3 linked regions of the Arabidopsis thaliana genome follow. The protein of the gene in region 2 interacts with the protein of the main gene of each other region in a biochemical or structural test. Each region holds a gene or a part of one and is shown on either strand. Other genes may lie near its edges. The genes, in order: AG, BEL1 and SEP3.

Region 1 (8,027 bases), on a different chromosome or scaffold from region 2:
GAACCCTAAATAAATTAAAATTCCTCTGAAACCTTAAATTTATCGAGCTAGTGATTGGCTGCCAACTGCCATGCTGGCAAAATTAGAGTGACATGATTGGTCTGAACATGTCTAGGGTTTCAGACATGTGACATGTGTCAACAACCCATTAACACATTGGGTATAAATCCAATAGACATTTGATAGTATTAAAATTGTAACCATTGGATTAAATTTAAACGTGATGGATGTAACTAAATGACTTGTCCGAGTAACATCACAACGTTCCATACTTTCCTTATTTGGAATATAATTAAATTTACCATTTATTCTTTTTTCTTGAGTTTCCTGTATATGTACTTGTACATAGATATATATACACAAATACGTATTACAATGACATATTATAGACTTTGATGTCTGAACTCTCAACCTTCTCGATGGAGAGATCATGACCGTAGATTTTTTTGGATCGTAGAAGGCAGACCAAACTCTTAAACTATTGGATCCGTACTAAAAATCTCACTTTCCTCTCAGTACCCATAATGAGAGAGAAAATGATAAAAATCCCTAACATTATTCTCTCTCTAGAAAAAAAAAAGATACTTCAAAAAGAAAGAGAAATTGCATAAATCTATCTACACCAAAGATGTTGAAGCAATTCCAATGCTATACTTCTATGCCAAATCTATTTATTCAGTGATCATTAATCTTTTTACTTCCAAGAAATATGAACAATTTAGTATCCTTATAATTTTTGTCTCTATATATGTAATATGAACATTGGGTATTGACCAAATGAGAAATCTAATATTAAATGGTCAAAAGTAGTAATATGATGACATTTTTGAATTTATAAATAGGTTACAAATTAATTCATTATGACATAAAACCTTCTTGTCAGAAGTCAAGAACTGAAACTAACAAAACTTTATAATAAATTAGTAAAAATACAAGTGAAAAATAAAAAGAAATAATATCTGAGTGATGACGTGATCAAAGATTCTTTAACAAAGACAACAAATCTTACAGACCCAAAACCTAATCTTGCGCTCAATTCCAACCTCTGAAAAAACCTCAAAAATCTTATAAAAGAAAATAAATAAAGAAACGAAACTCTGATTTCGTAGAGTACCCATCGGATATATAAAAAGAAATTAGTAGGTAAATGAAGACTAATTTTGATTGACTGATTTAATTTGAAGTCGTTGTTAGCTTTTCTTGTTTTGGACATGAGAATTATATATTTCAGGACATGAGAGTTGACAACTGTAAACGATTAAGAAAATTGATCTTTTAATTTTCAAACACCATTTAATCTTGACATGTTTTATGTTTTGGTGGAGAAGAAAGTAATCACGTGGGACTCTCTACTAATAAGTATTTGGAAATTGCGTGTCGAATTAGAGATTACTAGTTTGAGTAATGTAGTTCGAAATGAGATTAGTTATTTTTAATTTTAAAAAGAGTAATTTTAAGGAATAACAAAAAAGAGTCCCCATAAGCTAATTTGTCTTAATTACCTCCTTGTTTCATTGACTATTTGAAATCTTGAAAATTCAGTTGAAATTTCAAATCTATGTTTCTTTTGACCACTTCTAAACTAATCTTAGCTCATATATAATTTTCCAAAACTACAAAAATAACACTAACATTTAACATTCTCAAGAGAAAACAAAAACAAAAACTTAGATAACCATCTAAATTGTCCTACATGTACGTATAAGTTCCATTATTTTCTATCACTCATATAAGTTAAAATTTCATGAAAACTCAAAAATCTAGCTAGTTTCACCTTATTCACTCTCACTTACCATCACATGTGTTTGTATCAAATATATGATATGATATAATTCATGAGAGAGAAAGAGAGCTAGAGATAAGAAAGGAAAGTAAGAGAAAGAAGAGAAGAAAAAGAGAGACACAGACATTAACAACAATGGAGGATGGATGATCACAAAACAGAAGATATGACCTCATAGTCCTTCCTTACTCTCTCCCCAATTTGTTTCCCAAAACTTACTTTTATAGTCATAAAAATCAAGTTTTTACCTATTACAACACCAGATCTATAAATATATCTAAATCTTCAAGTACTTGTTAGTAAGGAAAATAGAAAGATATAAGATTTTATTATTATTATAATAACAGAAATGAGTGAAGAAAGAACACCCAACAAAGTGAATCTTAGTTCTACAAAACTGAATCTAAAACTCCACATTAGAAAAAACCCTGATGGTTTCTTATTTCTTTTCATTTATTATCTAACTCTCACTCAGATCTCCTTTAACTTTGTACCATTTCCCTCACTTCATATATCTATATATAACAAATTCTCTCTTTTTATTTAAGTCTTAAGGGAAAATTAATATACACATGAAGAACAAGAAATTAGATCTACAAAATTGTTACAAAAACCCCCGAAGTAAATAAAATAAACATATCAAACAAATATTCCCACTAATGTTAGTGTGTTTATATATATATGTGTGTGGAATATGAAGGAAAAAAGTGAAAAATAATCCTACCCATAAGAGCATTCAAGAAGAAGAGAATCAAATCTAGCTTAGAAGATCGAAAACCCTCGTAAAAGATTTATGCTTTAACATAAACATAAAACCCTAAATCGGACTTTAAAAATAATTTAATTATTAATAAAGTAAGAACAGAGCACGAGAAGAAGAAGAAACCTGTTGTTAGAGTACTCATAGAGACGACCACGGCTAGAGAAGACGATGAGTGCGACTTCAGCATCACAAAGAACAGAGAGCTCGTAAGCTTTCTTGAGCAAACCATTTCTACGTTTGCAAAAAGTGACTTGACGATTCGTTGTGTTCTCGATCCGTTTGATTTCGATCTTTCCTCTCCCAGATTTCCTCAAGGGAGAGGAATCTCCTCCTAGCTCCGATTGGTACGCCGTGATTGCTGCTCCAAAGCCAAAAACGTTTAGGGCAAAATTTGATTAGTACAGAATTACAAGAATCCAACAAAAAACCAATCAAGATTTTCTTGAAAAGACTCAAGATTCTTCATGTTTTCTATTCTTTTGAATTATGGTTGAGATTAAAGTTAAACTATAAAGATTTAATTTAATTCTGTTGCCGACACACATCTTATAGAAGGAATTATAAAGTTGAAGAACTTTATTGATCTTACATTCATATTCTCCTAACAAGAGTTAATCAAGAAAGGATGGTAATACACAAGTTATAAACTAAGAACAAAATTGTTTTGTAACCATAGGGATAATTTAAATCTAGAGTGTGAAAAAGAAAAGTTTTAAAGAGTTAAAGAAGATCAGAGAATTTGTGAATCTTGTTTCTCTCTAAATAACATAAAAAGAATCAAATCAAAACGGGAAAAAAGGAAACTAAAGAAGAACAAAAATTTGGTTTAAGGACCAAAAGAAGTGAAGCAAAGTAATATTATGAAGAAGATAATGTTTGAAAGGATTGGGGAACAACAAAATACTAGCCTGACCTGTTGGGGGGAGAAGAACAAAGGGGAAAGTTTTATTTTTCTTGGGAAAATGATTTTCTGGAAAGTATGAGATTTGGAGAAGTTGCAGAAAATGGAAGGTAAGGTTGTGCTGGTGAAGAGATGGGTATATACATTTATAAAGGAATATTTTTTTTCTTTTTAATTTTCTCTACTATTTATCACCATTTTTCCCCACTTTTTACATCCATATAGTGTCTTGTCAATTTGTGTTTGATTACTGGTTTTCTTACTCACTAAAGCATAGTTTTATGAATGGAATCTATGAGATAAGTATGTGTTTCTTCTTTATTAGATAGAGTTAATATACATGTATTTTCTGAAAAGTAATTCTATTTAAACTGGTTTTGGAACATACACATGTTAGATAATTATGTGGTGAAAGTTGATTTTGAGAATTGACAAAAGTTTTGTACTTGGTTGATAGTTATATATGAGGGAAGTATAATTAATTAAACTGGTGTTTCTTTTCAGTACATTTAGACATATGATAGGTTAAAATAAAAGATTGACATAGAGCAATCTAAAGGTTCACAAAGCATGAGTACATCAGCTTTTGAAATCACATGAAAAATATTATTAATAAATAGTGTTAATTACCATAAATAACACCCACCATACATCCGGACTTTTCATAAATATAATACTTATTAAGGACACCCCCAAATTGAGAAATTGTAGAAATGAATAAATAGTTTTTGGAAATGAAGAAAAAAAGAGAGAGTTATTGGTGGGTAGTTCTTGTGTGGTCTTTCACAAAGGTCTAAATGAAAAGAGGGTTCAAGTTGGGCAATCACTCATGAGATGCAGACTCTACTTACCATTACTTGTCTTTGCTTTTCATGTGAAAGTTTTTGAGGCACTAAAATCTTTGGGTAAATCTGATCAGTACATTTTTTTGTTACAACAAATATCGATCTTCTTCTTTGTTTCTAGTTTTTACTAAATCTTGATCTTTTTAAAGAGGAAAAAATTTCAGCTCTATTCCCTTTTCTTTTGTGAATTGTTTTAAAGATTTAAGTGACATTCTGCAGGAAAATTTGTTTCACTAATTAAGGAAGTTATTTATAAACAAATATATGGTGTTGTATATTTGATACCATTTTACATTATTTTGCCAGAATAAATATAAGAAAATGGATTCTGGATACTGAAAATATTAAAGAATAGAATTTCAAAAAATTTATGATAATATTGTAATTACATGATGAGGTGTAATTTATTCCGTATATAGTAACTGATGGTGTACAAATATAAAGTAACATATAAAAGAAAACTGTGTAATTAGATATATGGCTAAACTGATTATTAGTAGTAAGAACCAATATACTTATCTATTTAATGGTGTGGCAAATATAGAATCGAATGATGTAAAAAGAAGGAGAAAATTACTCAGATAGTGAAGAAAATTAGCATACTATTTATGTTAGTGAGATTTGAAGTTGATGATGTTTACTTGTTGTGATATTGACATATAAAAAAAATGATAAATTAATAAGATAAATAGGGTTTTAGGGTTTATAGGGGAAATAGGGAGATGAAGCGTACTTTTAAGGGGCTGGACAAGACGTAGGGCTTAATTTGGAAAGTTATTTAAGTGTAATGCTTCTGACTCAATTAGAAGGTAACCAGACTTTTCTCTCTTCTCCAACTACTTTAATCTCTCTCTCTTTTTTTACATTTTCTTTTTGACTTTTGTCGCCCTCTTCAAGATCACAGCTCTCCATATTGTTTGTGAAACTACTATATGAATATACATAGGTGACTACTTAATAAATTTTGTTGAAAAGTATCTAACTGTTAAAATAGTTCTCCTAATTGGCTAAATGGATTAAAATTTAACCCAAAATATGGATTAATAATCTTTCTTGTTTTATTTGATAAAGATCTTTGTAGCTCGTATGTGGAAGAAAAAAATTGGGTAGATATTTTCTAACATTTTGTTAAATAAGTTATTTTTAAAAAATGTTGAATAATTGAGGAGCACAATGTATAAATGGAGTAAGGTTATGCCAAAAGAAGAGGGAGAGTAGCATGTGATGTGTAGTCTTTGATCTCCATCTTTATGAACCCATTTAAGGTAATTTGATAGAGATAAGAGAAACCTATATGTATATACAGTCCATATTCATATTTATTTCCCTATAACTATATATACATCCACTTGCAATGTGCTTTCTTTTCTTTTGTACTTTTTCTTTCTTTCTTGCAATTAGAAAAAATAGTATAGCTTAACTGCATGTAATTTACCTTCTCTAGTAGTATATTTAATTAGCAAGAGTTAAAGTAAGTTTAGTAAGAATTACTGAATTGAATACTAGTAAAATTTACAAATTAGTACATAATTAGATTTCCTTTACGTCACATGTATGCTTGTATGTATGGAAATTGATTAGGTCATTTATAAAAGAAACAACTCAATTGCTTTGGGTCAAGCTTTCATGGTCGAAGTGGGTTTTAAAAACCATAAAATCTTCTCGTATCTTACATGATGGACCACAATCGAAGGTTGCTTTCTACCATATTTTGATCACTTTTGATTTGAGTTTTTATTAAAACAAAAATATGTGACTCGCTGAATTATTTACCCGATTTAAAATACTGTTTTTCAATGGTGTTTTATCTTAGGAATAACAATATCACACATCGGAAGTTAGACAAAGATCCTAATAATATAGAAGATATATGGATTGATCCACTGCAAATTGGTTTTGAGGACAGATTAATATTTTATCCAACTAGTCTAAACGTATCATCAGAAAAAATGTATCGATCAATTTGGTAAAGGCTCGATTTTGACCAAAAAACAATATGCATAATTCTTGTTTAGTGTATCTTAATGTATTTTTTTAATGTCATCTACTACAAGAAAACAATACGAACTCCAACAATTTTTCTTACGAAATTTTGGTGTAAAATCTATGAAATTTTCATCAAATGTTGTTTTGAAGGTTTTAATTTAATAGAAAAACCGTTACTCGTGTACTAAGTTCACAAAGACATAGAATGTGTACTAGATAAGTTCCCACGTAATAATGATTATAAATATTAAATTATATATGATCAATAAAAGCAATAAATATTTAAAACATTAATTTGACGTCGAATCATACATTTTGTGTTGGAGAAGGGATCACTTAAATGACACTACCTAATCAAATTTAATGCATATTCTTTTGTTCCTTAATTTTTCTTCCTCGTCATTAAAAAAAATGGATACATTATATTACCTAGAATAAAATCAGTTCACAGAAAACAAAAGAATACTCTCTCTGTTTTGAAATTATATATTCTGTAACATTCCATCCCAAAATTAGTATGACGTGATTAGTAGATCAACAGACCACAAACCATTTGAAAATTTTCAAATATTTTGAAAATTTTCCAAACTGCTAGAAATAGATTCTGCGTACTTTTATAAATTCCGTAAAAATATGGAATTGGCATTCAAACTTAGATACTATATATATAGCATTTTGTGGGAATTTAAGATTTGTTTTCGTCAGGTTCCAATATAATTTAAAGATATTTTTGTTTGGTTTTGGACCGAATTAAGACTAATTAGAAAGAAAAAAAAAAAGAGAAATCAGTGCTGCTTTTGGCTTGATTGTGATTGTGCCACTCAAATTATTGGCCAATATTAAGCCAAGTTTTGTGTTTGCATGAATGTATTATGTGTTTATTTTAGCATATTTGTGTGTTACTAGAAGATTAAACTAATTAAGTGTAATCAAAACCAATTTTAATCATTTTCCGAGCTCCGAACACTCTCTAGCACCTATGCTCTTACCTCCCTCTAAAATCCCACCAGAATTCTCTTCCTCGATCAATAAAGGTCGGCGATCTTTTTCGATTTGTTTTCTAAACATTGTTCTTCCACTTCTATTTGTCCATGTATTTATATAAATAATAATTAAGATGATTTCGTGAATTGAATTATTTAGATGAAAAAATAATAATTATTATAGTAAGTCATTAAAAATAAAATGAAATCGCATAAAAGTATCTAAAGTTAACTCTTGAGATATCTATCATAGACTCCCGCAAGTATGAAGGTCTTCTCAATGATGGCTTCGAGCAAGAAGCATCCCCTATTAAAGATATATTCTCTCTTAGTAAAAAAAAACAGAAGGAGGACATATTCTCTCCTTATTCTTTTGTTTTTTCACAATTTTTCCTTTGAATTGCTTGTCGATAATTGTTTTTTTTGTTAATCGAATAAATTTTAGATTTTGAAGAAAGGAAAATCGTTGCAAACTCGGGAAGAAAACTTTAATAAATCATATTTTCCATCACGAACTTAATCGTATAACCTATGATAATGTGCATAGCCAGGGAAAAGTGGCCCATGAGGTTATAATTGGATACAAATTAATACAGTTTCCAGATCAAGAGCCTGTTTTTGGGACCCTCTTAAAAATGTCTATATTATATGTGTGTTTTCATATTCTTGAATCTTGGTGTATGTATTCTTTTGTGATAGACATAAAATTTCATGTGGTTTTACAGGATTCACAATTTAGGGTAAGCCTTTGATAGAAAAGTATAGT
Region 2 (8,027 bases):
ATTAAGAAAAAAGTATTAGATTGAGAAAAAAACCTCTCAATAATATATTTTAAAAAACAAAATGAAAATATCCTACAAGTGATATTGACGAACCAACTAACTCATACATTAATAATATCTCCTTGTCCACCAATCCTCCAATCCAATCAGACAACGGTATATATAAATATCTAATTTGGTTTTTATCTAACTAAACCGTTACATAACCGAATCGGTTTTGGAAAATATGTATCGATAACTTTGGTCCTAATCTTTTAATCTCAAACAATATCATGAAGTAATTGAGCTCCCATCAAATTCCTATAAGGCAAATTCTGAACTTGATCATCATCTAACATCGACGCTGAATATTGAACCGGTCCTTCTTCAATGTGGTCTCTACCGTAGAAAAGTTGGCCACCTTGAGCCGTCACTGGAGACAACGCTAAACTCACACCACCGTTACCATCGTTACGTTGTAACCCAAGCGTCAAGGAAACGTCACCACGTGGCCCTCCTTCACCAGCGTATGTCACAGCTTGGTTACCGTACAAGGAAAAGTCAAACGTTGACCCTAACGACATCGTTCCATGGGTTGAGTTGTGACCGGATTTGGATGTAGGGTTTGTCACTATTGAGGATAAAGATTCCGGTTCGACACGGATCAACTGGTCCGGGTCCGGTTTAGTATCGATCATCATCGGGTTTGTAATCTCCATTTGTTCACTTCTTGTTTCTTCACAGTACATTTCTTCAATCATTGGTTTCCATAGCCTAACTCTTGCATTAATAAACCAATTTGATACCTAACAATTTTGGTTTATTATAACTTTAGTAAATAGGATAATAAATTTTGGAATATATCAAGAATTAGTGGAGTTATTCTTTACCTGACTTCTTGATAAACCAGTTTGTCGGGCCAATATATGCTTATCAACATCGCTCGGATATCTGAAAACAAAAATAAGAAAATTTTACTTTAATGGAAAAATATAAGACAAATGGATATGTAATTAAAAAAAAGGATATAAATGATTGAAGAATGATGCAAATAAAATGGAAGCAAAGGTAAAGGGTTTGGTGAAAACTAACAAGATGTTTCATTGTTTGAGCAGTGTTTGGGAATTGATGGAGACAAGTGTTACATATGATGATAAACATATAACTTCTGTAAATTAAATAAATAAAAAGTAGAAGAAAAAGAACAAAATAAAAACATGGAGAAAAAAGCAAGGAGTTATGTATAGTTTCTCTCTTTTGTTAGTGTTAGGTAAAGAACATTGATTCTCTCTCTCAATCCACTTTGTACCTTTCTCTATTTCTGTCTTTCATCCACCAGTTAAATTTATTTTATTTAATTTTATATGTTCGTATACATATATATACATGTGTATATGTATATGTTTGTACACTCACTTTCACACCAATAGTGCAAATGAAAGAAAAAGGAAAATAAAAAAGCTATATGCAATTAACAGATTAAGGTAGATTGTATCCTATGCTTGTCAAGTCAATCTCAATCTCTCTATATAAAATGTACATATTTTTTTACTTTTATATGTTCAAAAATATTCATGTAACAAACAAAAAAAACCTATCATACTATTTATCAACGTACTATCAATGAAATAAAATCGTTAAAGAGGTTTTATATAGCTCCATAAATATACCCAATTAACTTGTGATTCTACCTTCATTGATCACTTCAGAAAGACACAATTAGTAACTTTTAGGTATGTGTAAATATATTAAGAGGATGTATATGAAATAACTTACGGGTGAAGAAAGTGTTCAAAGAGCCAAGCTCTCAACGTTGTGACTGCGCGTTCAGGCAAGCCGCGTTGTGGACGCCAAGGATGAGCGTCAACAAGAGTCATTTGGCGATACGATTTCTGTTGCCGCAAAGCTTGATCGAGCAATCTCAACCGTGGAGTTTCTCCACGTGCTGCAATAGAAACCGCACGATTATCCTCTTCTCTCTCTCCCAAAGCTTGACTTGTTGCTTGAATCTGTCCCACAAGTCCGTCTTTTAAACACCGAAAGTGTCTTGACATTGCCCTTGACGCTAACGCAGTGTATATCTCTGCCCCTCCTAGTCCAACCGCCGCTTCAAAGGCTGCCGCCGCAACTCTCATTTGCTCTCGGTAATGTCCATATCTTCTTTTAAGCTGCCAAAAAACCGCAAAAAAACGTTACCCCACACCATTCACAAAGATTTCAATCACAATCGTGTAAATGTAGATTCTTAGAATGAGTAAATACACGAAAAAGAAACAACTCGTTATGGCTTATGATGATGAAACTGATTGCTATAAATATGGAGGACCACTAGAGTCTCCAAATTAGCTCAAAGCAAAGAAAACAAAATTATATTTTGGTTCTATAGAAAAAAAGAAATAATGAGTAAAGGAATTAAAAGGGTTGATCTTTTCGTAGTTGATACGATCGAACTTGTTTTCGACGAGAATACATGAAAGAATGAAGACAAAAAAGAATCTTTTTATCTTAATATCTAAAAGAAATTTGTAACTTTAAGAAATATATGGACCTAATCAAGAATCGAAAAAATACAAGATTTATGGGTATCTTACATATTTAGGAATAAGTTGAAACCAAATGAAAGGAAAAAAAAAAAGATTTGTAAAAGACTTGTGGGTATTTTACATTTTTAGGAATAAGTTGAAACCAAATAAAAAAGGATTAGATTTTCTAAGAAACTCATGTAAGTTTTGATAGTAGTAATGAAATAATTTCTTGAAAATATATATACCTCTTCGAGCATGGAGAGCAACTTGGCTTTTCTTTTCTGAAGTTCCATGAACTCAAGAGAGTGAAGTGGTGGAACATGTTTCTTTGAAGAAGTAGTCGCAGATTGGTCATGTTGATCATTGTTGCTGTGGTGACTTGTGTCCCACTCTTCTTGTTGTTTACCCTTTTGCTTCTTCTTATGCTTCATCATCATCACTTCTTCATCGCTTTCCTTTACTCCAAGACTGCAAAACTCACTCAGTAGCTCTTGAGCTGGACTCAAATACTTGGAACTCCCAATCTGAAACTGATGATGATTATGATGCTGATGATTGTTATTGTTGTTGTTTTGGTGGTGACTATTCATCATCATCATCATCATCTGCGTGTGTTGGAGATTCTGATGTTGTGTTGATTTATTACCGGAATACCCTTGTTGTTGTTGTTGTTGGGGTCTGAGTTCGAAAGATTGGAGACTGATGCTTGTAGGATTTGAAGAGGAGAGAGAAAGGGAAAGACCTTGGCTTGGTCTTTGTGGTGGTCTCTCATCATTTACTTCACTTGGGAAATCATTATTAACATTGCATAGTCTCATGGCAGATGAAGAATCTTCCAGAAGCTGATTCTGATCAGTACCACCACTTGTCTGATGATGATGATGATGATGATCCGAACCACTTGTCATCCTAATCTGTTGTTGCTTAGAGAAGTCTATCATCATACCCATGTTGGAGTTTGAGCCAAAGATCTGATGATTGTAATGATGATGATCGGTTGGGTTTTGGTTTGTCTCATCAAACCCTTGGATCTGATTAATCATTTGATGTTGTTGCTCTTGATGATGATGGTTATTGTGACCATAGAACTGATCTCTTGCCATGTCTCTCAAGAATTGAAAACCCAAAAAGAAGAGAAGAAAAAAGAAAACTCTTTTTGGGACAAAAACAGAAGTTTCATTAAGATCTACAAGAACCCATCTCCAAGAAAAAGTTAAAAAGAACCAATAAACAAAATAGAAAGGCAAATCTTCTCATACCATGAAAATTACAAAACTTTGTATCAGAACCAAGACAATAGAGATAGCTCCTAAAACCCTACAAGAAAGTAGTTTGCATAAAGATGTGAATTATTTTTCTTCTTATTCTTTAGGTGAAGAGGGAGAGAGAAGAGATTATAGGAGAAGATAGACGAAGAAGAATAAAAGAATTAAACAGAAGAGATATAACAGAGAGAGAGAGAAGAAAAGAGATTGTGTGGCTTCACCTCTCTCTTTGTTTTGTACTTTGACAAAATTTAATTTTTCTTTTAGTATGGGTCTGTAAATTGTACTACAGGCAAAAATAAAGAATTATAAAATGGTAAAATAAAATTAAACCTAGGAAGAGAAAAAATCAGATTGGTATCTCTTCAGAGATCAGAAGACAGGTGATCATGACCCTGCCATAGACTCTATAGCTAGCCATCAATGTTTTAATCTCTCTCTCTATATATATCTATATATATATATATATCACAAGTGGGTCAAAATGCTTTACAATTTTCAAAAGAAATATTAATATTCTTTTTATTTTATTTTTTCCCGCATATAAAATGCCTCACAATTATACATTTAATTTGTGTATTTTGGTATACGTAAGTCATAATGAAATAATGGTTTATATTTTTCTTCTTCTTTGACGTTGAATTATAAATTATTGGTCTGACCAAGAAAATACTACAGGTGTCTACCTCTATTCTTTATTTTCTTCGTTCAATTATTAAGAACCTGCTAATTCGAAAATTTAGTTTACAAAAAAAATCAAAAAGGATGGTACGTACGTACATTGGTCCAAACAGTTTAGAAAAAAAATTGATTGGATAGATAACAAATAATTAAACTGAACTAAAGAAAACAAAAATTAGAGATCCTTTGCCCGGTACACAAACTAATTATACAAGCCATCTTCATATGACATATCTCTACGTTGATTTAATTATTTATTAAACATAATTTAGTATTTAAATGTTCATATATATATATATATATGTATATATGTATTTAGTATTTTGATTTTTATTGCTGAATCCATACGTGTAATCTACGTGTATATGTATTTAGTATGTATGTAGATATGTATACAATATGTTATCTAAGAAAATGATATCAATTTTGGTGTTAGTGTCGTTTGCTAAGCTTATGTAGGCAAATTTTGTTATTAAATGAATATTTTTGGAACTACTTTTTTTTTTGGTGAAAATATTTTTTGGAACTACTTTTTAAACATTTTTATGAAGCATAGCGTATCTCAAGCAATATTTGAACATTGACGATGATTTTTAATTGAAAATAATAATATTCTAAATTTAGCCAACCAGTCACGTGAATGTACAAATTTAACTAGTATTTTGTACAAAAGGTGTCCCTTTCTATACATAAATAATCGTTATATATAATACATGTATGCCTCTGCGGCTCTGCCTATTTTGCTCCTAAAATATATTTTCTTTGTTAAAGAATTATTATCAGGTCTAATTTATAACAGAATTATTTGATGATAAATGAATTTTCAAACAAAGAAGAGAAGTTAAGTTAACTTAAAAAATGAATAACTGTGAAAAAGTTTTGCTCCTAAAATAGTTTTTTTTTTTTTTGGAGAATTAACATACCAATATATATATATATATGTTGGTGTATAGATGGAGAGGTAAGTAAATGAAAGAGAACGAATCCCAAGAAATCAAACCAGAAGTAGGAGTTGAGTTCAGGCTTTTCTCAGATATGTCTCAGTGTCACTTCTCTACTGTTTAACAATTACTATTAAATTACTATCAACCATATCATAACTATATAAACATTTTAATTAATAGTAATTATATATAGTAGAATAGAGATCGTAGTCCCGTGTAATACAACACAAATGGACTGATGTCATTATTCGACTTGCACTTCGCACAGTACGTGAAAGAGATTGTGTTTTGAGTTTTAAAATACGTTGTTGGTCGGTCACTAAACTAATCGAGAAAGTACCAAAACAAAAGTCTCCTTGTTAGTAACTGCAAGGGCGAAGAAGTTAATTATATCAAGATTTAATGGTTTTCTATTAAATTCCATTTAATATGTACGCAAAAGAAGGAAAACAAAAAATCAAAGTTTTCTTAAACATTGCTGACATACAAAATCAAATATTCAAATTTTAAATAAATGTTTCTTAAATGTTGACATAGAAAACTAATATAGTCGTTCTTCTGCTTGGCACATGTATTATTAATTGTTGTAAAAATAGTGTTTATTACAAAATTTGCAAATTTCTTTCTTTAGAATTTAGATATATACGACATCTTAACATTCAAACCATAAGTCAAACACCACATTATGAAAAACGTATAATTAATTGGCGTTACAAAAACATATCAAGAAATTAATTAATTTTAAAGAAATTAAAAATTATTTAATTAAATAGTTTTTAAGTAGGATAATCTTTGATTAGTTAACATCAAAGCCAAGTTGTAAAAGAGGACATAAAAAGATACATAGAAGAGACAAAAACAACACTGTGTTTGTAGTTATTTAACCGCTAATATTTATTAGAGTCACCCAAAAAGCTTTCTTCTTTTCATTGGATGGATAAACCAGTGAGTTTTCTTATAAATGACAAATTCGAATATAACTTATAACCAACAATATCACAAAAAATTGATATTACTTGTGTTATAGAATATTCACATTCAGTTGCTTAAATATAGTATACTATTGCTATATACGTCAAGTTCATATATTTACCAACAATTCAAAAAAAAAATCATCTATACATTCATTTTTTTGTTTCCAAATTAAATACATGTGTTAATTACAAACTGTTAACTGAAACTATCAAGGAAGTACAGGATAAGAATATCCAAAACTTTGAGATTATACGTTAATAACAAACTATTAGTTTTCAGAATTGGAGTATTTATAATTGTTGTCAAGAATTGTTCCCAAACTAAGGGACTGTGCATGAGAGGTGATTAAGTGGTCCTCCATTTTTTTTGCTTCTTTTTTCTTTCTAATGTCTTTCTTTCTTTATATTCATTCCACCCAAAAAAATGCATTTATTTTCGTCTCTCTTTGGGACCATTTTATTTTCTTCTCCAATTCTTACATATTCACATTTATATGAACTTTATATATCCTCTTCCACGCGCCAATGTCTAAGAAAAACAACTCAATTGAATAAAGCATCTATATTCTAATACTGACCTTCTCAGATAATTAATAGGACAATTTTAAGTAATACTAATATGTTATAAATTCATTACAAAACCAAAAGAAAATAACTATTCAGATTTATGACAAAAAAAATAACAATGATTTCTCAAAACTTATTGACATATATTTCACTATAAAAATTTGGTAATTTTAGTTCAAAATGAAGCATCCACAATTTGGTACTCCATTAATTGATAAAATCAGCCATGCGCAATATGTATAAACACCAGAACTAAACCCAATTAATTGGTTTAGTCACGTAACAAACACGCGACATGTTGTGAGTGGGTGAAAACATCTTGGCGATTACATACATTTAAAAGGGGAAGTGGTCCAACCGAAACGGAAGCTCTTTCCGCCGTTTCATACCAAATTCCACAAAGAATCCTTTTTTCAATCTTTTGATATCCCGAAAATACCCTCCACTGATGATTGACGTCATCACTTCAGACCTTTTTTATTTTATTTTTGTCGACAACCTTTTTTATTTAAGAGAATGATCGCAGCAGGTGCGCAGGTTAGCAGACCTAATATTTTTCTACGTCGCGATAAAATTCTAAGTAAATAAGTGGTATAGTTTTTCATATGTGATTTAAAAAATAAAGTATCTTTTGTGTTATCAGATTTATATTAACACCGTATGATAAATGTATATATATATCCGTATGATATTTGTTAAATAAGAAAGATAAAACATTTTATCTTTGAGATAAATATATAAACTGTTATCCCTAGATTTTGCAAAATAAGTGAACTTAATGTTATTGCTACTCTTAGAGTTATTGATGATGAAATTGTATCACATAAATCACTTAAGCGGAAAAGTGAAAAGAAAATGTCTTAGTATTTGTAAATCTACGATATAAACTTTAGAGGTATGATCTAGCGCTATTGCTTCACTATGTATTAAAGCATTTATAAGAGCAAACAGATTAGAGAAAAATATTTATTGTCATCAACATATATTCAAAATGTTTCTAACATGTAAAAGGAGCATCCATGATAATCTAAGGTGGCACATAAAATAAAACAAATCAATCATAACCGTTAAAAGAATACAAGGAGAAAAAAA
Region 3 (8,027 bases), on a different chromosome or scaffold from region 2:
GACAGTATTTAGAGGATTTACGCTACTCTGGTCCGCTCACCATCTATGCCATTGGCCGACTAACAGACATCTCTGATGACATCCTGCAAGCGGTAATTATGCTTCCGGATGGACTTTTTGTATCAATACTTTTTTTCATTGTCTGATCTGGTTTTGAGTCAAAACATTACATCTTACCACTTGTAGTTTCCCTTTCTCACTTGTAGTTTTGTTTGCCTTAATTTGAACCTCTGTTATCTTTTTCCACTGCATGAGCATTTGGTTTTCAAGTAGATGAAGCCCTATATTGGGAGCGATGAGGATGAGGAAGACGAAGACACTAATGAGGAAGACGAGGAGTAAGTAACTTCAAGCTTGTGCAACGACATTAATCTTTTTTTCTCTGTATATGACCATTAAGAGCCATTACTATACATCAAGAGGCACCATGTTTTTGTTTGTTCTCTTGGCCTTGGTCATGGAATATAAGCATTAACAACCTTAGTAATAGAAAAGCATTCTACTCTTGATCAAACAAACTCAAAATTCAAGAAACGCTTCCTTAGATCGTAACTCTAATCGTCGGGTGAATTCACATTTCAATTGAGATCTTAAACCTATGTTTAAGGTATCTGATAAACTTGTCTATCAAATCTTCATGATAATTGAGAATATCAACTACCTGCAAGATATATTAGAACCAAATTTATCTTCTTCTCTATAGTAATACTCCCTCTACAAAAGTATAGATATAGCCAAAATGATATAGGTGGGGCCTACAGATACATAAGCAGTGGCCAGTGAGTTGCTCTTTAACAAGAGAGATAAACAAGCGGTCCCTTCTCAAGACTCAAACAAAAAAACACCAAATAGATAGTGTGAGACTGTGAGTTATATCGTACCATAAATCATAGTTAAGAGAATTGGTTAGATAACATGCATAAAATGGGAGTTATTTTAAAAGAAACTGGATCAGGAAGTTTAGGAGTAATGGGTAAAAATAGGAAGCAAAATTGTCGAAAAAATTATTGAATAATAGAAGGGCATAAACATTACACACACACATGCACACAAGACAGAAAACATGAGAGAGGTAATAAAATAGAAACATCATCTTAAAAATGTCAAAAAAAAAAGAGAGGGATTGATTAAGTGAGAAAGATTCAAATAGAGTTGGTGTCATAAGGTAACCAACCCAACATGTAATTATTCACACTTGGTCCTGCTCCCATTCCATCTTGTTGCCCCTGATACCTGCTCCATAAAATTTAGTAGTTTGAGATACTTTCTTAAGAAAAGCTTATAATAGAACTCAAATCAAATTGGTTATACTAGTCTAAAGTTACCCGATCTGAAGAATGGGTTCACATTCCAAAGGCTGGAAGAAAGCTTGGGAGTGTTGTTGTTGTTGATGATGATGACGACCGTAGTGATCAACCTCTTCTTGGTTAGGGTTCAGCTGGAGTGGCATCTGATACCCATCAGCTAACTGTCACATATGTATATACACACACACATTATAACCAAATTTAGTGATGCATTAATTTGGTGATATGAGAATGTATATTAATTACCCTTAGTCTTAGAGTTTTATTTGTCTCAGTCAGCATGCGTTCCTGCTCCAAATATTTGTGTTTTCTTGGTTACATTACTTTTAGATGAGGAATTTAGAGAGGAGAATGAGTGTTTCTTTATTTACCTTACTCTGAAGATCGTTGAGCTGGTCAAGCATAAACTGTGTCTGCAGAATTAAACACCAAATTTAATCTTACTATGGAAATAGATCAGTGTATAAAGATATTGATGAACAAAGTAGTACCCTGAGAGCTCTGATCTGCTTCAAGGAAGAATCAAGCTGTCTCTCAAGTGACTCAAGCTCCTTTGTACTTAGAGGTCCAAGATCTTCTCCCAACAGATTCCTATTTCAACATCAAAACCATCAAAAAAATCTACTAAAAAAACAAACACTCTCTGAAGGTAGCTGAAGAAGCTAATTAGTTTACCTTTGGGTTCTCTGTAAGGCGTCATAACGCTCCTTAAGCTTGAGATACTCCTGCTGGCTACTAAGTTCCTGAAGTATATGACAAATTATAACATTAATCATTTGACTCTAAAAATCAAAGTAAAAATTGAGAGTAATTAATTAAGGTAATTAGAAGAAAGAGAAGAGAATTGGGTACAACTGCTAAGGCCTCTCTTGAAGGCACATTGGGTTCTGGTGCTCCATAGTTACACTTTTGGTACCTCTCCAGTGTCCGAAGCATGCTTCACACCACACAAAAACATCATTTCTTCCATTAATCTTACTCATCAAGTTCAAAACATGTTTTTAAAAATGGGATTTTTAACTGTTTCCTAGGGTTTACAACAAAATCTGTTAGTCTTTTAAGAGAAGATCTAAAGAACCCAGAAAAAAGGATGAATCCCATCCCCAAGTATACATATCCAACGGACTTTAGATGAATTTGACATTAGCGTCAATTCAAAACCCAAAATTGGAAACCCCTAAGGGTTACTAAAATGGATTGTCGTGGAAACAATATCCCCCTATGAACTTATATCAATCTGACAACAAAATTGAGTGATTTGATCGAATTGGACGACCCCCAGAATCAAAAGGTGGAAACTTTAAGCTTATGTGAATTAAAGAGTACTCACAAGAGAAATTAACCCTAATTTCATATCAGATAGATTGTTCTTCTCTCAGATAATGTGAATTAAGTAGACAAACAAATAAGCAATAAAATATAAGAAAAAAAACTTTGATAGATGTAAAGAGAAATAGAAAAAAAATCAAAAACAAAAATGGAAATCAAAGAGAAACACAAAAGAACATCAAAAAAGCAAACTTGTTATAAAATGATACAGATTTGGGGTATCCCAAATTTTTTTTCCTCTTTGCTTCTTTTAAAAGGATATGATAGAACACGTACGTACGACACAACAACACATCACAGAGAGACCCATACATACAAGACATTTTTGTGTTACTTAATATGTATATAAAATGTTTATGTTATAAGTAATATATATACAAAAGTAGATATATACCTCGAACTACTGCAAAACTCGTACAGCTTTCCTCTATTTGAGAAGATGATGAGAGCAACTTCTGCATCACATAGAACTGAAAGCTCGTATGCTTTCTTCAAAAGACCATTCCTTCTCTTTGCAAACGTCACTTGCCTATTGATCTTGTTCTCTATCCTCTTCAATTCTACTCTCCCTCTTCCCATTTTCTTTTTCTTTCTCCTCTCCCAAAAGATATCTCAATCTCTCTCTCTCTCTTTCCTTGCAAGCAATTCTATATATATATGAGCCTCTCTCTTTCTTTCTTTCTTTCTTTCTTTTTTTCTTTATATTTTTTTTATCTATCTTATATTGCTTTTTAAAGTGTACATATACATTTGTACAAATCTCACAACACTTCTCTCAAAGTACATATAAACATGTCAGCTTCATTACTTGAAATATTCTCTTTCTAATATACTCTCAGACTCAACTATATACCCTCCAATTATTGTGTACCAAAGACCCTCATAGGATTTATTCAAATATTGCAAAATTGAAAGAAAAAATGTTAATTACCCTATCCATGCTTAGATATTTTCAAACCTAAAAATTTGGTGCATTTTTGTGTTTATACATAATTAGTAAAGGAGAGAAATTAGAGTTCCACTCTCACCAACACTTTATTCTAGCTAGTGGTTTAATTTTTCAATTTCAGTCCATATTTAGTTTAGAGAAAAATGTGATTCTGCCAAGAAAGTTTGATGCTTTTTTACTTAGTTCATCGAATTATAGAGATTAATAATTGAAAATCCTACAAAAAACCCTAACATTTAAAACCATTTTTATTTAATACGTTGAGAGAGACAGAGATATTAAAATCGTATGATTCGTAAGAGTGTGATGTTGAAAATGAGAGATTAATAATGGAAGGTGGAGATGGCGCGTGTGCGATGAGTGATTGCAACCCTAAACAGAAAATAGTAGGGCAATGAATGAGTTTGGACACGTGTCGACATCTCGATGGTAGGGTCTGATAAATCCACCTGATTTTTTTATATAAAAAATTTTGATTTTATAAATTTTTCTTTTTTACTTATAAAATCGAGTTCAGGGAATCATGTGACCTAACCTTAACTAGGTGAAGCCTCGTACGATTTTCCCAACTTACGGAACTACCCTTGTGATTGGTTAAAAATGTAAAGTAAAACACTACTCGTTTGTGATGTTTTCATGATATCTAAAACTCTTACTGCTAGTTTTGATAAATCTTACTGCTAGATTTGCTTTTCCTTTTCCAATCTATAGTACTGCTAAGATTATTTTTGTTAGTGAAATTAACAGAAATGTCTTTTGTATTAGTCTACTTTATAAACCACCATTTTGATGTGGCCAAAAAAAAAACCATGTTGATAAATTCAGTTTGGTAAGAGAGTCTGATGAGACACAAAAAAAATTATGGGAAAGAAAGAAAACATAAATGGATAAAATAAACAGAGATTTGAATATAAGATATAGTTTATTTTGGTTATCTTAGGGTTCGTCCGATGTTAGAGATCATGTCTGACCGAAAGTCTTAGTGCTTTTTGGTTGCAGACGTAATTGCTTTATTCTGACCGGTAAGTAGGTGATGGACACAAAGGTATGATTCAATTAGAAAAACTAAACATAGCATTATTATTCTGTTTGGTTATATTTAAACCCATTAGCTTCTTTTCTCTTTTGATTTGCACATTGAATCGCTTATTAATCTCACTTGGTCATGGTCTCATAGAAGCATTTTAAGCAAATTTGCACGAGTTTTATATATTGTCTTCATGTGGGACTCAAGATTTATGATATTTTAATTTGCTTCAATTGGTTTTAGATAAAATAAAATTAAATATGGTTATATAATTATAAGTTACAATCAAAATTAGTTAGAAGGACGTATGAGAAGAAAGGGAAGGGCAAGTACGAATTCACTTGTTATCAGATCTGGTCGTATAATTCAATGTAAGATGATGACAATTGATCGAGATGATGTGCATTAAACCAAAAGAGAAACTAAAGTACATTCAACTATTTATTTATTGATGTCATACCAATGAAGTTAAAAACATATATCTTCTATCTTTTCCTTCTCTTTTTGTACTCTTTCCTTCGTTTTGTGATCCCCCAAAAATTTTCAAATCTTCCCCATTGATAATATATGTGGTGAATTACAAGGTATGAGACCAACAATGATATATACTATATTTAGTTTTTAAACGGTTTCAAGTGTCAAACATTTCAAGAAAATAAAAAAAAAACATTCTTCAAGTCTCTTTAAGAATTTTCCCAAAAAACAATCTGTAAAACATATACCATTAGAGAAATAAAAAAAACTTAGAAATATAACAATGATGTGATATAAATATTTTTGGGATAATTTTACTTTCCACTTAATTGTTACGTAAAGCGTGAATGTTTTTCCGTATTTATCTGTACCATATAATTTTAAAATTAATAAAGGTTTTATTCAGTTTAATTTCTACGGTTCTACCTAATTGTGTACATATAACACGTAATTTTGTTTACCTATTTAGCCATCTATATTATACTACTTGATAACAACACATCGCATCATTATCACATTATCATTTACTTAATTGCAGTCTATGCCAATGTTATATACACCGAATTAACTCAAAAAAATCTAGATCTTGTAAGAAGTATATTCGTAAAAGTGGATATGGCCGAATAAATTTCTTAGTCTAAAGCATAAGAAAAAAAAAGGTTAGTAAGAAAGAAAGAAAGAAAGAAAGAAAGCACTTGGAAATACTCTTTTGGCTTTGGGATCATATGCCCTGGATGGAGCACACACAGGTCCCATTTGGATGGATGGATCAACCAACGATGAGAGATCCAACGGTTCTAAAGAAATTCTCAAAATCAAAAATGCTATTACACGTAGGAAAGAAAGAAGAATCTCGATGTGAAGCTAAAGAGACGACGGTGATCGATAGGGGACCATATCAACTTGCAATGTTTGCACTACAAACTAGAACAAATAAATGCCACGTGAAATCCTACACGACAGCTAAGTTGCGGAGTACTGGTGATATATGTGGTCCATTGGGCGTGAGATGAGAATCGGACGGCTTTGAGGCAATGTCGTGAAGGGTCGAAGAAAGAATAAGAACCGTTGGATTAATCTGCTAAAAATAGACGGACAGGGTCCACGTCAAGACGTAATGGGAAGGGGACCTCGTTACCCAAAATAGAAAGATGGAGTTATCGTCAAACAAGTCACGTCTGGGTTTATTGAGTGGGGTTAAGTTTTTGGACCAGTCTCTCTACTTTTTTTTTCACCCCTCCTCTAATATATAGTAAGTTACTGTTGTCATAGACTCTTAGTCATTATGCATTTTAAAGGTTTTCACTTTTCAGCGTGCAATGAAAAATTTGGTTCATACCTTATGCCGTAAACTACTATAATGGATTATTATGTTATTTAAAAACTCATGTAGATGTTATTTAAGTGTTGTATCACTTATGTACACACTAATAAATTTCAGATTCATAACTAATATATAAGCACTCAAACTAGTTAACATTTTGTCATTTGATTAAGATAGTGACTGGGAGTAAATAACTTTCATCCTTGTAAGTTGTAAAACCTCATGACACCATTAAAACCATAGTTTAGATGCCTAATCCAAGATAAGGATAGCATCAGAAGAGAATATATAGTCCATCGAACTAGATTTGGAGGAGTGTTGAAGCTAGTCCATCGAACTAGACTTTTGACAGTTTGATCCACTTTTTTAAAGATTTGAGATAGTAGAACATCGTAGTTGAGAGTGAATCTTGTTAATCTTGTCACCGTTTCACGCCAAAGTTCGTAGATTGATGAATGCCAAAGCAGGTTGAGGATATAGCACCTGGCCTTAGGTATGTTTTGGGCCGGGGCGAGATAACCAAGTACAAATGTACAATCATCCTCTTGACAAGAAATTTTGCTTAGATTTTTACATATATAGGCTGTTAGAAAAGAGAATGGAATAGGAAACCAACTCTTATAGTCAAGTAATGATATAGTAAGAAAAACAAACATACAAACATATGGGCCTCAATCACTACTCATAAATCCTTAAAAAAATGTGTAATTATACACTAGTGAATGAAGCTTTAATAGAAGTGGTCAGTGGTCTTCATTTTCATTTTAACACGTAGAGGCGTAAGGCAGTTGCTGCACTTGGCTTCCTTTAGAACCGGCCATGTTAACATAGCATTGTTATGATTATGGGAACCATATGTTTAGAAGTAAGTAAGAGGATTTGAGATTATATGGATTAAAAAAATGAGACATATTTGGGCTCTATGCTACATGTTGAATTACTTCCATTTTCAACTTTTTTTTTTGAACATGTGAGGGTGAGATCTTTTATCTTCCCACTTTCACTACAAATAAGTTTAATTAAATTGCTGGAAATTGATTGAATAATCCCTTAGCTAGTGTGCCTCTCCAATATCAATTGACACATTTCAATACTTTTTGAGACATAAGATATGACAGTGGACTTCACTTTGTTGTTGCTCAAGTATGTCTTAGGTGAATGAATCGTCCAAATTTGAGAAAACTTGGGCATTTGAATCATCCCCAAATGCCCAAGTGATTTTAATAATGGACCAATTTGTCTGTCTCTATTATGAATTTATGATCCGTCCGGTTATTGCCTCCTAGGTTTTAAAACGAACCTAATCGTGATTTAGACCGAATCAGACCGGACATTTCGGTTCGGGTTTTAGAAGCAACTCTGTTTTGTTGCCTCAACAAGCGAACAATATAGTCGCACGTCGTATCTCTCTCGCTGCCTCACTTCATCGTCCCAAAAAACGCCTCTGTTTCACCGGTACGTTCCTGCAGCTCTCTCTTACCAATACTCTCTTAGATATTCTCACGCGGATTCGTTTGCCATCTTAGTTCTTCGCCGTATAAGCTCGTCTCTAGCCATGGCTCTTCCGCTCGGGAAGCTCACCATCCTCATCGGTGCAGGTCGGTACTTTTATAGGGT

What was found.
Region 1: the proteins of BEL1 (region 2) and AG form a complex in vitro, tested with the Arabidopsis thaliana proteins (one study listed by BioGRID).
Region 3: the proteins of BEL1 (region 2) and SEP3 form a complex in vitro, tested with the Arabidopsis thaliana proteins (one study listed by BioGRID).

Annotation. Positions count from the first base shown.
Region 1 is NC_003075.7:10,378,789-10,386,815, reverse strand, and holds the start of AG (K-box region and MADS-box transcription factor family protein), read right to left. Parts: upstream 3,961-8,027; 5' UTR 3,136-3,960; intron 2,905-3,135; 5' UTR 2,900-2,904; coding exon of another isoform or gene 2,776-2,899; coding exon 2,670-2,775; intron 1-2,669. UniProt on the Arabidopsis thaliana protein: Probable transcription factor involved in the control of organ identity during the early development of flowers. Is required for normal development of stamens and carpels in the wild-type flower.
Region 2 is NC_003076.8:16,576,004-16,584,030, reverse strand, and holds the start of BEL1 (POX (plant homeobox) family protein), read right to left. Parts: upstream 4,096-8,027; 5' UTR 3,608-4,095; coding exon 2,750-3,607; intron 2,148-2,749; coding exon 1,756-2,147; intron 931-1,755; coding exon 870-930; intron 786-869; coding exon 261-785; 3' UTR 1-260. UniProt on the Arabidopsis thaliana protein: Plays a major role in ovule patterning and in determination of integument identity via its interaction with MADS-box factors. Formation of complex with AG-SEP dimers negatively regulates the carpel identity process and favors the maintenance of ovule identity.
Region 3 is NC_003070.9:8,592,648-8,600,674, forward strand, and holds SEP3 (K-box region and MADS-box transcription factor family protein), read right to left. Parts: upstream 3,452-8,027; 5' UTR 3,216-3,451; coding exon 3,031-3,215; intron 2,245-3,030; coding exon 2,160-2,244; intron 2,051-2,159; coding exon 1,983-2,050; intron 1,899-1,982; coding exon 1,799-1,898; intron 1,721-1,798; coding exon 1,679-1,720; intron 1,596-1,678; coding exon 1,554-1,595; intron 1,469-1,553; coding exon 1,326-1,468; intron 1,234-1,325; coding exon 1,143-1,233; 3' UTR 929-1,142; downstream 1-928. Other genes in the region: AT1G24256 (uncharacterized protein), read left to right, coding at 1-92, 274-342; AT1G24265 (bZIP transcription factor, putative (DUF1664)), read left to right, coding at 7,966-8,008. UniProt on the Arabidopsis thaliana protein: Probable transcription factor active in inflorescence development and floral organogenesis.